Linked DNA regions of Canis lupus familiaris. The protein of the gene in region 1 interacts with the protein of each later gene in a pairwise test. Links are inferred from orthologs where the notes say so. Each region holds a gene or a part of one and is shown in the gene's direction. Other genes may lie near its edges.

What was found.
Region 2: the proteins of FAM131C (region 1) and HPCAL4 interact in binary tests that used the Homo sapiens proteins (3 or more experiments, as listed by UniProt). The two-hybrid records come from large-scale screens. The link is inferred for Canis lupus familiaris from reciprocal best matches to the Homo sapiens genes FAM131C and HPCAL4.
Region 3: the proteins of FAM131C (region 1) and VSNL1 interact in binary tests that used the Homo sapiens proteins (3 or more experiments, as listed by UniProt). The two-hybrid records come from large-scale screens. The link is inferred for Canis lupus familiaris from reciprocal best matches to the Homo sapiens genes FAM131C and VSNL1.

The regions. Positions count from the first base shown.
Region 1 is NC_049223.1:81,089,184-81,092,544, forward strand, and holds part of FAM131C (protein FAM131C), read left to right. Parts: intron 1-828; coding exon 829-944; intron 945-2,185; coding exon 2,186-2,221; intron 2,222-2,450; coding exon 2,451-2,544; intron 2,545-3,361.
Region 2 is NC_049236.1:3,269,783-3,273,282, forward strand, and holds part of HPCAL4 (hippocalcin-like protein 4), read left to right. Parts: intron 1-284; exon of another isoform or gene 285-386; intron 387-2,394; coding exon 2,395-2,564; intron 2,565-2,703; coding exon 2,704-2,919; intron 2,920-3,500. UniProt on the Homo sapiens protein: May be involved in the calcium-dependent regulation of rhodopsin phosphorylation.
Region 3 is NC_049238.1:13,155,319-13,158,141, forward strand, and holds the end of VSNL1 (visinin-like protein 1), read left to right. Parts: intron 1-1,341; coding exon 1,342-1,539; 3' UTR 1,540-2,323; downstream 2,324-2,823.

The DNA.
Region 1 (3,361 bases):
GCAAGAGCCCCGACTGGAGAAACACTACGGCCACCACGCTGGGGACCAAGAGGGAGACACAGCAGATGGGCAGAGGAGAGGAGAGAGAGTGCAGGGCAGTGGTGGGGGGAGGCAGGCCAGGCCGGGGGGGCCGCCAGGGCGAGGGGAGCTGGTCTTGGATGGAGTAGGGACAGTTCTTCCTTTGTCACAGGAGGGAAAGCAGATGGTCTGGGCAAAATGCGGCCAGGGCGATGATTTGAGGTGGGAAAGTGGGGCGAGGCCTGTGGAAGCTTCTGGATCTCAGTGAGGGAGGGAGAGCAGCCAGCAGCAGGTGCAGGCAGGGTGCTGCTCCCCGTCCCCCAGGGGTTTGAGAAGGAGAGCCGCACGGGTAGGCAGCCTGACGGGAAGCAAACAGCGGGGCCTGGAGCCGTGTAGAAGGATCCCCGACCACGTCCCGTGTGAGGCCAGCGACATGCAGCCCGGGCTGGGGGCCGGCAGAGGGTGAGACCAGACGGGGCTGGGAGTCGAGGGCATCTGTGGAGGAGAGCTTGTAGGCTGGACCAGGTGGTCGTGGCTGGCCCAGGGGGTGCTAGAATTAAAGAAAATGGAGAACAGGCCGCGGGGGAAGGACTCCCACTGAGGGCACCAGGCAGGGGCAGATCTGGCTGGACGCCTCACGTGCCGTGGGCTTGGGTCTCTTTCCTACACGACGACACCCTGTTTCATCAGGTGACAACAAAGTAGTGCCCATCCCTCGGGGCTGGCCTGAACAAGCTTCATAAGGAGGAAAGTATGGTTTTTTTTGTTTGTTTGTTTTTTTCTGAGTTCCTCCTGTCGTTGTTTTTCCAGATCTGTTCACAAGTGCCCACAAGGACTGTCCCATGCCGCAGGGCACGGACCCCCTGAACCCGGACTTGCCCTCCGGGCACCAACCTACTATTGCTCCAGACCATGTCACTGGCAAGGTAACTGGTCCCTCTTGCTCCTCACCCTCACCCCTGCCTGGGCCCTGATTCCTGGGATGTCCCCTACACTGTTCCACGGGGAGCCCAGACTCTTCCAGTTTTCCCTCGTGGGCTACTTGGTGTGGGATTAGAGTCCCTGATGTGTGGTATGCATGTGGATGAAGGTCTGAATCGGGCTGGGCATCCAGGGACTGGACCAGGCTTGTTCAGAAGAATCCTACCTTTGAGGTCTTTTCACCCAAATTAACTCAGCTTTGCAGATAACAAGTTCCCTGACCAGCCCACCACCCCTTAGCAGCCTGCCCTGCCCTCTGGAGGGTAAAGGAGTGGCATTCTCTCTCTCTTTCTCTCTTTTTAATATTTATTTATTTATTTATTTATTTATTTATTTATTTATTTATTAATTATTTATGACACAGAAAGAGGTAGAGACACAGGCAGAGGGAGAAGCAGGCTCCATGCAGGGAGCCCGATGCAGGACTCGATCCCGGGACTCCAGGATCATACCCTGAGCCAAAGGCAGACGGTCAACCACTGAGCCACCTAGACGTCCTTTTTTTTTTTTTTTTAAGTTTATTTATTTAAGTCATTTCTGCACCCAACATGGGACTCAAACTCACAACCCTAAGATCAAGAGCCACGTGCTCTACCGACTGAGCCCGCCAGGCTCCCCAAGAGTGGCATTCTTTTTCCATATGTATCAGGAAGAGCTGGTGAGGGGCCTCATATCCTCCTGGGGTGTGTCGTTTCCACCCCCACCCCCAGAGGTTGTGGCTTAAACCTACTGGTTCATATAATTATTTTTTTTTTTGAGCACATGCCACACGCGAGGTGTTATGCTAGACGCTTTGCCCACGTTATGTCATTTGCTTCACCACAACCCCTGAGATAAATGGCATTTATCATCGTTTTACGGAGGAAGAAACGGATGCTCAGAGCAGCTAAGGCACTAGTGTAAGAATACCCAGGTAGAAAGGGCAGAGTCAGAACTCGAACCCAGATCTAATCTACCCCCGTCCCCTCTGCCTTCCTGGCAGAGGCGCCATGGCCCATCCCCTGCCGCACGTCTTTGTCTGCATGAGAAGGGAACGTCAGGGCAGGACCCATGAGGAGCCAGACCCAGGGCCTCAGGGAGTAGCAGAGGGCTGGCCCATGCCACCCCCCCGGGGCTCCGGGACGTGTGCCAGCTGCTGGCACTGGGTGCCAGGCCCTGCCTGACCCTCTTTCTCCTCTTGTTTTAGGACAAACAGATGGATTTCTGTTGGGATCCTTGGCAGGTCAGTGCACGTTGCCCACCCCCGTCTGTCAGCCGCAGCTGACACCATCGCCCATCGGTCTGCGGTGCCATGGGGGGGGCGGCCCTGGTGGCAGCAGCGGGGTGGGGGGGTCGGGCCTGTGGAGTGGGCAGGCCCCCTGGGGAGGGGGCCTCCTGGGGATGGTAGTGGCGGGGAGGTGGCATCTGGCGGGTCTGCTCCACCCTCCTCACCCCTCCTCTCCTGCCCGCAGAGGTGCTTCCAGACCACCAACGGCTACCTGTCCGACTCCAGGTCCTGCTCCAGCAACTACAACGTGGCGGCTCTGGCCACCTCGTCCCTTGTGGGTAGGCTCCACTGCCCCCTCCCGCCTTGGCGTTAGCACGGCCCACCCTCGTCCCTCGCTGTGGGGGCGCAGAGCTGAACTGCAGCCGGAGGCGTGGAGGCTGGCGGCTGTGTGGCTGTCACCTGCCATCGGCTCTCCCGCCCCCCGGGCTCTCTAGTGAGGCCGCTCCCGGCAGCTAAGGGCAAGGCTCCGGAGAGGGCTGCAGGCCGGAGGCAGTGGCACCTGCTGGGAGGTGGGCACGCGGGCCAGCAGAGGGGGCTCGGGGGCCACCATAGCCTCTGCCCCGGGTCACCCACAGCACCCCTTCCAGGCCATTCTCGGCCGGCCGGCTCTGCTCACACCCTGTTGCACATACCTCAGGCTCACATCTCCCCGGGGAGAGACACTGAAGCCTGACGGCCCTCTGGGTCCGCGTCCACATCCAGGCGGCCTACCCCCGAGAGCCCCTCGGGCCCGCCTCCCCACTGCCCAGCCTCTGCCTCCTCTCTGGCTGGATCCCCCCAGGGGTGCCTGATGGAGCCCCATCTTCATCCTTGGCCCCATCCCCTCGTAGGATGCTCTTCCTCGACAACAGATCTAACCTGTCATGCTCGTGCTCATTACCCTGCCATGGCTCCCCATTGCTAGAAGGAAAACTCGAGTCCTCAGCTTGGCTCTCTCAGCCCTAAGTGTCACCCCCGAGGGGCTCCCCGGCCTCTTCTGTCACCCCAGTCTTAGCGCCCCCCCGCCCCGCCGTCTCAGCCCTGGCGGTCCTGGAACCATGCCCGAATCCGCCATGCCTTCCTCCTCGTCTCATCTCTGAAATAGCCTCCAGGCTT
Region 2 (3,500 bases), on another chromosome or scaffold:
GAGGGTGTCTGCTTGTAGATGAGTGGAGTCAGGGGAGCTGTTGGGTCACCCCCAGGGATGGATATTTCCTAGATGTCAGATACGGTGGCCTGGAGTTCAGTAAGAGGCCAAGAGGGAGAACAGAGCTAGGGTTTTCCCGGAAGGCAGGCAGGAGTAGGGAAGGTCTATTCTGGATGAGAGGAGCCATAATTTGGAGAGGGTGGCAGGGATTCAGCTTGGGTGTTCATCTGGACTCTTCCACTGACCTGCTACGTAACTCCGAGCCAGCTTTCTCCTTTCTCCAGGTTCCAGTTTTCACTAAAATAAGGAAATAGCTTAAAGGGACTGCCAGCATCCTTGTGCCCAGTGTAGCTGTCCTGGACTCCACCTCCAGGTTCCTGAAGATGGTATGCCTCCCCCTCCCTGGCTTCTCCTGGGAGCATGGAGGATTCCACATCCTCTGGGGGTGGTAGGTAGAGGAGAATGTTGCTACTCCTGCTGCTACTTGATCTTCCTCAAGGCCCCGTGGAGGAATCTGAGGCCCAGAGATATCCTATAACTAACTGGAAGCCACCTAGCAAGGGAGGGGGCATGGAAGAGACCAATCTCAGATCTGGTTGTTCAGGGCACTCCTAGCAGTAGGGATGAGAAGCCACCATGCTGGCATGCAGCGGGCTAAGGAAGTGGAATCCTTCTGCTGGCCCGACAACTTCCTTTTCCAGAGTATCTTCATGATTGGTTACCCCGGGGTCAGAGTCTGGTGCCCTTCCAGAGAGACCCCAGACAGGTCAAAGTTACCTCTTGGGCCATGTCCTAGGAATCTCAGGCTTCCTAGGAAACTCAGGATATTCCTCCCATGGAGGTCAGACGAGAATGTCCACCTTCAGGGCCTGGTAGGGCCTCGCTCCCGATATATCCTGGGGAGGTCCTATGCCTCCTGCAGAAACTGCCTCCATCACAGGCTACACAAGCGGCTTCTGTTCCAGTGGGGAACAGAACCTGCTTCTCAGCAACACCACCTCCAAATCTTTTTTTTTTTTTAAGATTTTATTTATTTATTCATAAGAGACACAGAGAGGGAGAAGCAGGTTCCCTGTGCCTGATGTGGGACTCATTCCCAGGACCTCGGGATCATGACCTGAGCCAAAGGCAGATGAGCCACCCAGGTGCCCCCATTCAGCCCCAAATCTAAGCATCTGCCTCAACTTCTCTGTACACCCCCCACATTCAGTCACCAACCCAAGCCTTGCCACCACCTCTCCTAACATGTCTCAATCCATCCACGTCATCCCACGGCCTCTGCCCTAGTGTCACCATCTCTCACCTGAACTATGCAGCAGGCCCATCTCTGCTCTCCATCTTCCCACCACTCGGCCGTCTTGCATACTGTAGCCAAAGGAAAAAATTCTAAACACATTCCTTCTCTCTCATCCCTGCACCTAGTTCAGGACCTGCTGCTGAAAGCGTCTGTTTGTGCACTGAATGCTATCTTCCTAGCCCTTGCTTTAAAATCCCTATGGGTAATGGCCAAGCCCCTTAGCATGGATGGAAGGCCCTTGACAATCAGCCAGCCACCTCTTTGACCCAAGTATGAGTTACTGAAGGTTGGCCCGTATCTACTTTATCCCCATCATGGAACAGGACTAGCACCCACAGTCAGCCTCAATAATTGCTCAGGGACTGAATGACTAATGAAAAGCAGGATGAGTCAAGGCCTTCAATGCGACTAGGACTTCTATTTGTACAGAGGAAGGAGGGAGAGAAGCTTCCTGCTGGGGTGGCTCCGAAAGCCTCGAGGGAGAACTTGGGAGATAATGCCGGGGGGGACACATGAGGAACTTTCCTCAGGTCCCTGGGTGGAGAAGAGCCTGCAGAGGCGGCTAGGGGCTGAGGGGAAAGCTCTAAGTTGCAAGGAGACGATTAAGACTCTGTTCTAGGGGTGTGGGGAGCTCTGGCAGGTGTACGCGAGAGAGGGAAGGTATGCAGGAAGACTGTGCATCAATCAGCACCATCAGGGAGAAGGTGGGGCGCTGAGACCTGGGGGCGGAGATCCTAGGTGCTGGGAGAGGAAACCAGCTGTGAGGAGGGGGGTGCTGCTGTGGAGAAAGGAGCCCTTGCCATTGTGGGGTGCCCGTTGATAGGGGGAGAGATTCCCGTCTGTGTTGGGGCCGGGAGGCAGGACCTCCTACGGAAGGCGTGTAAACCATAGGGCCTAGCTCTAGGAAGGTGGGCTTGTTGAGGGCGGTGGTGACACACCCTGCTGTGGAAGGATGGATCCTGGCTGTGGAAACGTAGGGTTTGTTATGGGAGGGGTTGTTGTGGAGAAAGGGAACCCTGTCCTATGGGGTCCTGGGGGATCGCTGCTGAGGTGAGGGCCTTGCCCTAGATGGAACTGAAGGAGGTCCTGCCCCCCAGGCCCTGCCATGGGGAAGACCAACAGCAAGCTGGCCCCAGAGGTGCTGGAGGACCTGGTTCAGAACACCGAGTTCAGCGAGCAGGAGCTGAAGCAGTGGTACAAGGGCTTCCTGAAGGACTGCCCCAGCGGCATCCTTAACCTGGAGGAGTTCCAGCAGCTCTACATCAAGGTGGGCGGGCCGGCGGCGGGGGCGGGGCCAGGGAACTCCAGGGGGCGGGCCGGGGGGCGGGGGCGGGGCCAGGCAATCGAGGAGGCGGGCAGGGACAGCAAGGCTGGGGCTTCTCCCCAACGTTCCCTCCACGTCTTAGTTCTTTCCCTACGGCGACGCCTCCAAGTTTGCGCAGCACGCTTTCCGCACCTTCGACAAGAACGGCGACGGCACCATCGACTTCCGGGAGTTCATCTGTGCCCTTTCGGTCACCTCCCGCGGCAGCTTCGAGCAGAAACTCAACTGGGCCTTTGAGATGTACGACCTGGATGGCGACGGGCGCATCACGCGCCTCGAGATGCTGGAGATCATCGAGGTGCGCTGGGGCTGATCCGGGGAGGCCAGGTTGTGCTGGGGTGATGCCCCTCCTTGTCTTCGAGGCAGATCCTCTCCAGTCCTCTCCAGGCACCCTCCTGTCGGCCCTCAGGAGCATCCTGGATGCACTCCACCTGTCCCCACACCCCGCCTCCCAGGACCCAGTGGCTAACTAGCGTTGGTTGGGTGCACAGTGTAGGACAGACCTTGTACTAAGTGCTTTGCCCAGCAATCCTATGGGGTAGGTACTAACAGAAACCCCATTTTACAGAGGAGGAAACATAGCAAGTGATGGTTCCTGATTCAAATCCAAGGAGTCTGACTCCAGAGCCTAAGTTTCGAACTCATTATTTTTTCACCGAATATGTATTGAGTGGCTACCTTGAGCCAGGCACTGTTCAAAGTTCCTGCTTAATTATTTGGACACTCTTTTAGTGAGAAGATTTAAAAGCAACAAGAAAAAAACCTGTGCTATGTCAAACAGAAAGTGTTATGAAGAAGAGAAGCAAAGTAAGGGGAGGGAGAAGGATGGAGGAGCAGTATATGGGGTGAAATGTGAGCAGCAACCTGAATAAGGTGAGG
Region 3 (2,823 bases), on another chromosome or scaffold:
CCCCACCCGAGGAAGCTTGGAGCCTGTGCTGCGCGGCTTCCTTTCTTCCCTGCCCGGCCCCCAGTTGCGTCCCCCGACCCCCGACCCCCGTCCCCCGTCCCCGGACCCCCGTCCCCGACCCCCGTCCCCGCGCAGCGCTGGCAAGTCCAGATCCAAGCCCCCGGGCTCTGACGCCGGCGCCAGGGCTGTTCTCAGACGCGGGGCTTCTGCCCTGGGCTTAGCGCGGCCCTGCTGGGCGCCCCCACTTCCTCAGCCAGCTTTCCCCTGGTTGCATAAGATGCTGCCCGTAGCTCCTCTGACATCTTACAAAACTTTATCGAGTTATAATTTGCAGACCATAAAGTCGCCCATTTTAACTGGACGATTAAATGATCTTTAGTGAATTTACCAAAGTATGCAGTCATCCCCATAATCCAATTTTAGGACGTTTCCATTCCCCCAGTAAGACCTCTCATGCCACCTGCCTGTTCCTGTTACAGACTCAGATGACTCGGCTCTTCTTTGTCTCTATGGATTTGTGTCTCTGGACATTTCATATAAACAGAATCAGACAATATAAGTATATGGCCTTTATGCCTGGATTCCTTTTTTAAAAGAATCTATGTTGTAGGATTTATCAGTATTTTATTCCTTTTTGTTGCTGAAATAGTATTCAATTGTATGGATCTGTCATATTGTTTACCTGTTTACCAGTTGATGAGTGCTGGTGCTGTTTCCACTCCTTGGCCATTATTAATAATGCTGTTAGAACATTCACCTGCAGGTCTTGGTGTAGATGGGCATTTGTTTTCCTTCAGGAAGTTTCCTAAGAAAGTTGTTTCTATCTAGGACATCCCCATGTTGAGAATTACTTGCGTACAGTTAAGTGAAAGTCGGAATTCTTTAACTTATGAACAGAGTCCCTGATCCACAGATCTCCCTAAACTAATCTTTCTGGGCTGAACATTACTGGGCCACCTTGCTTGGTTGTCTTAGCAAATGATTGTAAGTTCCTTATCAGTTGGGACCACATTTCTCTTTTCCTAAATCTTCAAGGGCTACTGCTTGGTGACTTTCATCTGCACTTCAAACCCAGAATGTTTAAAACCGAGGTCATCATTTTCCTCCTGAGTCTTCTCCTCATCCATTAATCTTGCACTTACCACCGAGGTACTCTGTCTCCCCACTTCCTCCAACCTGGGAGTCGGATGAAATTCTTTTATGTCCAGTTGGTCACAAGACTCACACATATTTGATTATATCGCTGTCTTATTTAAAACGATTTAGGAATCCTTTGAAGTAAATTTAAATCTTTTATCATATCATGGGAGAACTTTACGCTCTGTTTCTGGTTTTCCCAAGGCTATCTATAAGATGGTAGGCACGGTGATCATGATGAAGATGAACGAGGATGGTCTCACGCCTGAGCAGCGAGTAGACAAGATTTTCAGCAAGATGGATAAGAACAAAGATGACCAGATTACACTGGATGAGTTCAAAGAAGCTGCAAAGAGCGACCCTTCCATTGTATTACTTCTGCAGTGCGACATTCAGAAATGAGCTGAGGTCAACGCTATGGACTGACAAAAGTCTCAATGTTCCATTCAGTCTGCAGCTATTCACACACATACACACACACACACACACACACGCACACAAATATTGCTTGGACTACCTATCAATGGACTTGCTTCTTGTGTTTGAAACACTTGTGTGCATGAGAATGTCATTTGCTAATGAATTTTAAAAGCATATATTATAAAACAAACAACCTGCCACAATGTGATATGTGTAACATCATTTCGTAAAAACCCTTCTCCCTTCAAGCCTGGGCAGAAATGTGCTGCAAAAAGTTCTATGGTTTCTTGTTCATGTTTTGCTAATGCTCGTGTCTCCTTGATTACATGTTAGTAGCACTGAGACCCCCCTGGTAATGTAACTTAATATAAGCTGTGTCACCATTCTCGTGTAAAATAGTACTGGACAGGCACATGGAGAGGCCTTGGCTTCCCTGTGTGGTCCGCACTCAAGAGCTTGTATTATCAGTGAAGATAAATGTGCTACCTTTGCATGCCTTTTAGGTTTGCCTTAACTCTTACCTCATTTGCATTCTATCAATCTGGAAAGAGCTATGTTGGAATTACTGCAGTATAAAACTTAAAAATCCTGCTACATGACTCATTAATTAAGTATATCTCTCTATATATACATATACACAAAGATATTATTTATTGAAAGTAAAAAAAAAAAAAGCTGGAAGTGTATTGATTTCTGCTTGAATTTTCAAAGGCTCCCAAAGAGGTGGCAATAGATGTCCCAAATAAATTTATAACATTTGACTTTCTCCCTCAATTCTTATTTCATAATTTTAAATCTGAAATGGATGTTCATGATTATCAAGGGTCAGCTAGCAGCAGCTTAGCAAATCTACTCTGAAATACACAACCTCAGAATTCAGAGAATTAATGACAACGAAATGGAGAAAAGCAACTTTCCAACTCTACATCCTGGCCCTCAAAAGAGGGGCAATGAACATGGTAGGTGAAGTTTAAATAAAACATGAAACTTCTTTGTTCTCAAAAAAATACCCATTGTATAAAATTAAGTTTCATCTTAATGTGACTGGGTGCTAGCGACACATTACCTTCTTCCCATGGTGTGGAGGACACATGCAGCCAGCTGAGAAGTGTCCTCCAAAGGCAGCCCGTAGGAAAGAACACTGCTTTCTTTCCAAGTCAAAAGTATACTAGTTGTTATTTTTATTTTTAATTTTTCTTTTCTTTTTTTCTGAGAGAGAGAATGGGGGAGCGGCAGAGGGAGAGAAAAATCTTAAGGAGATTCCAC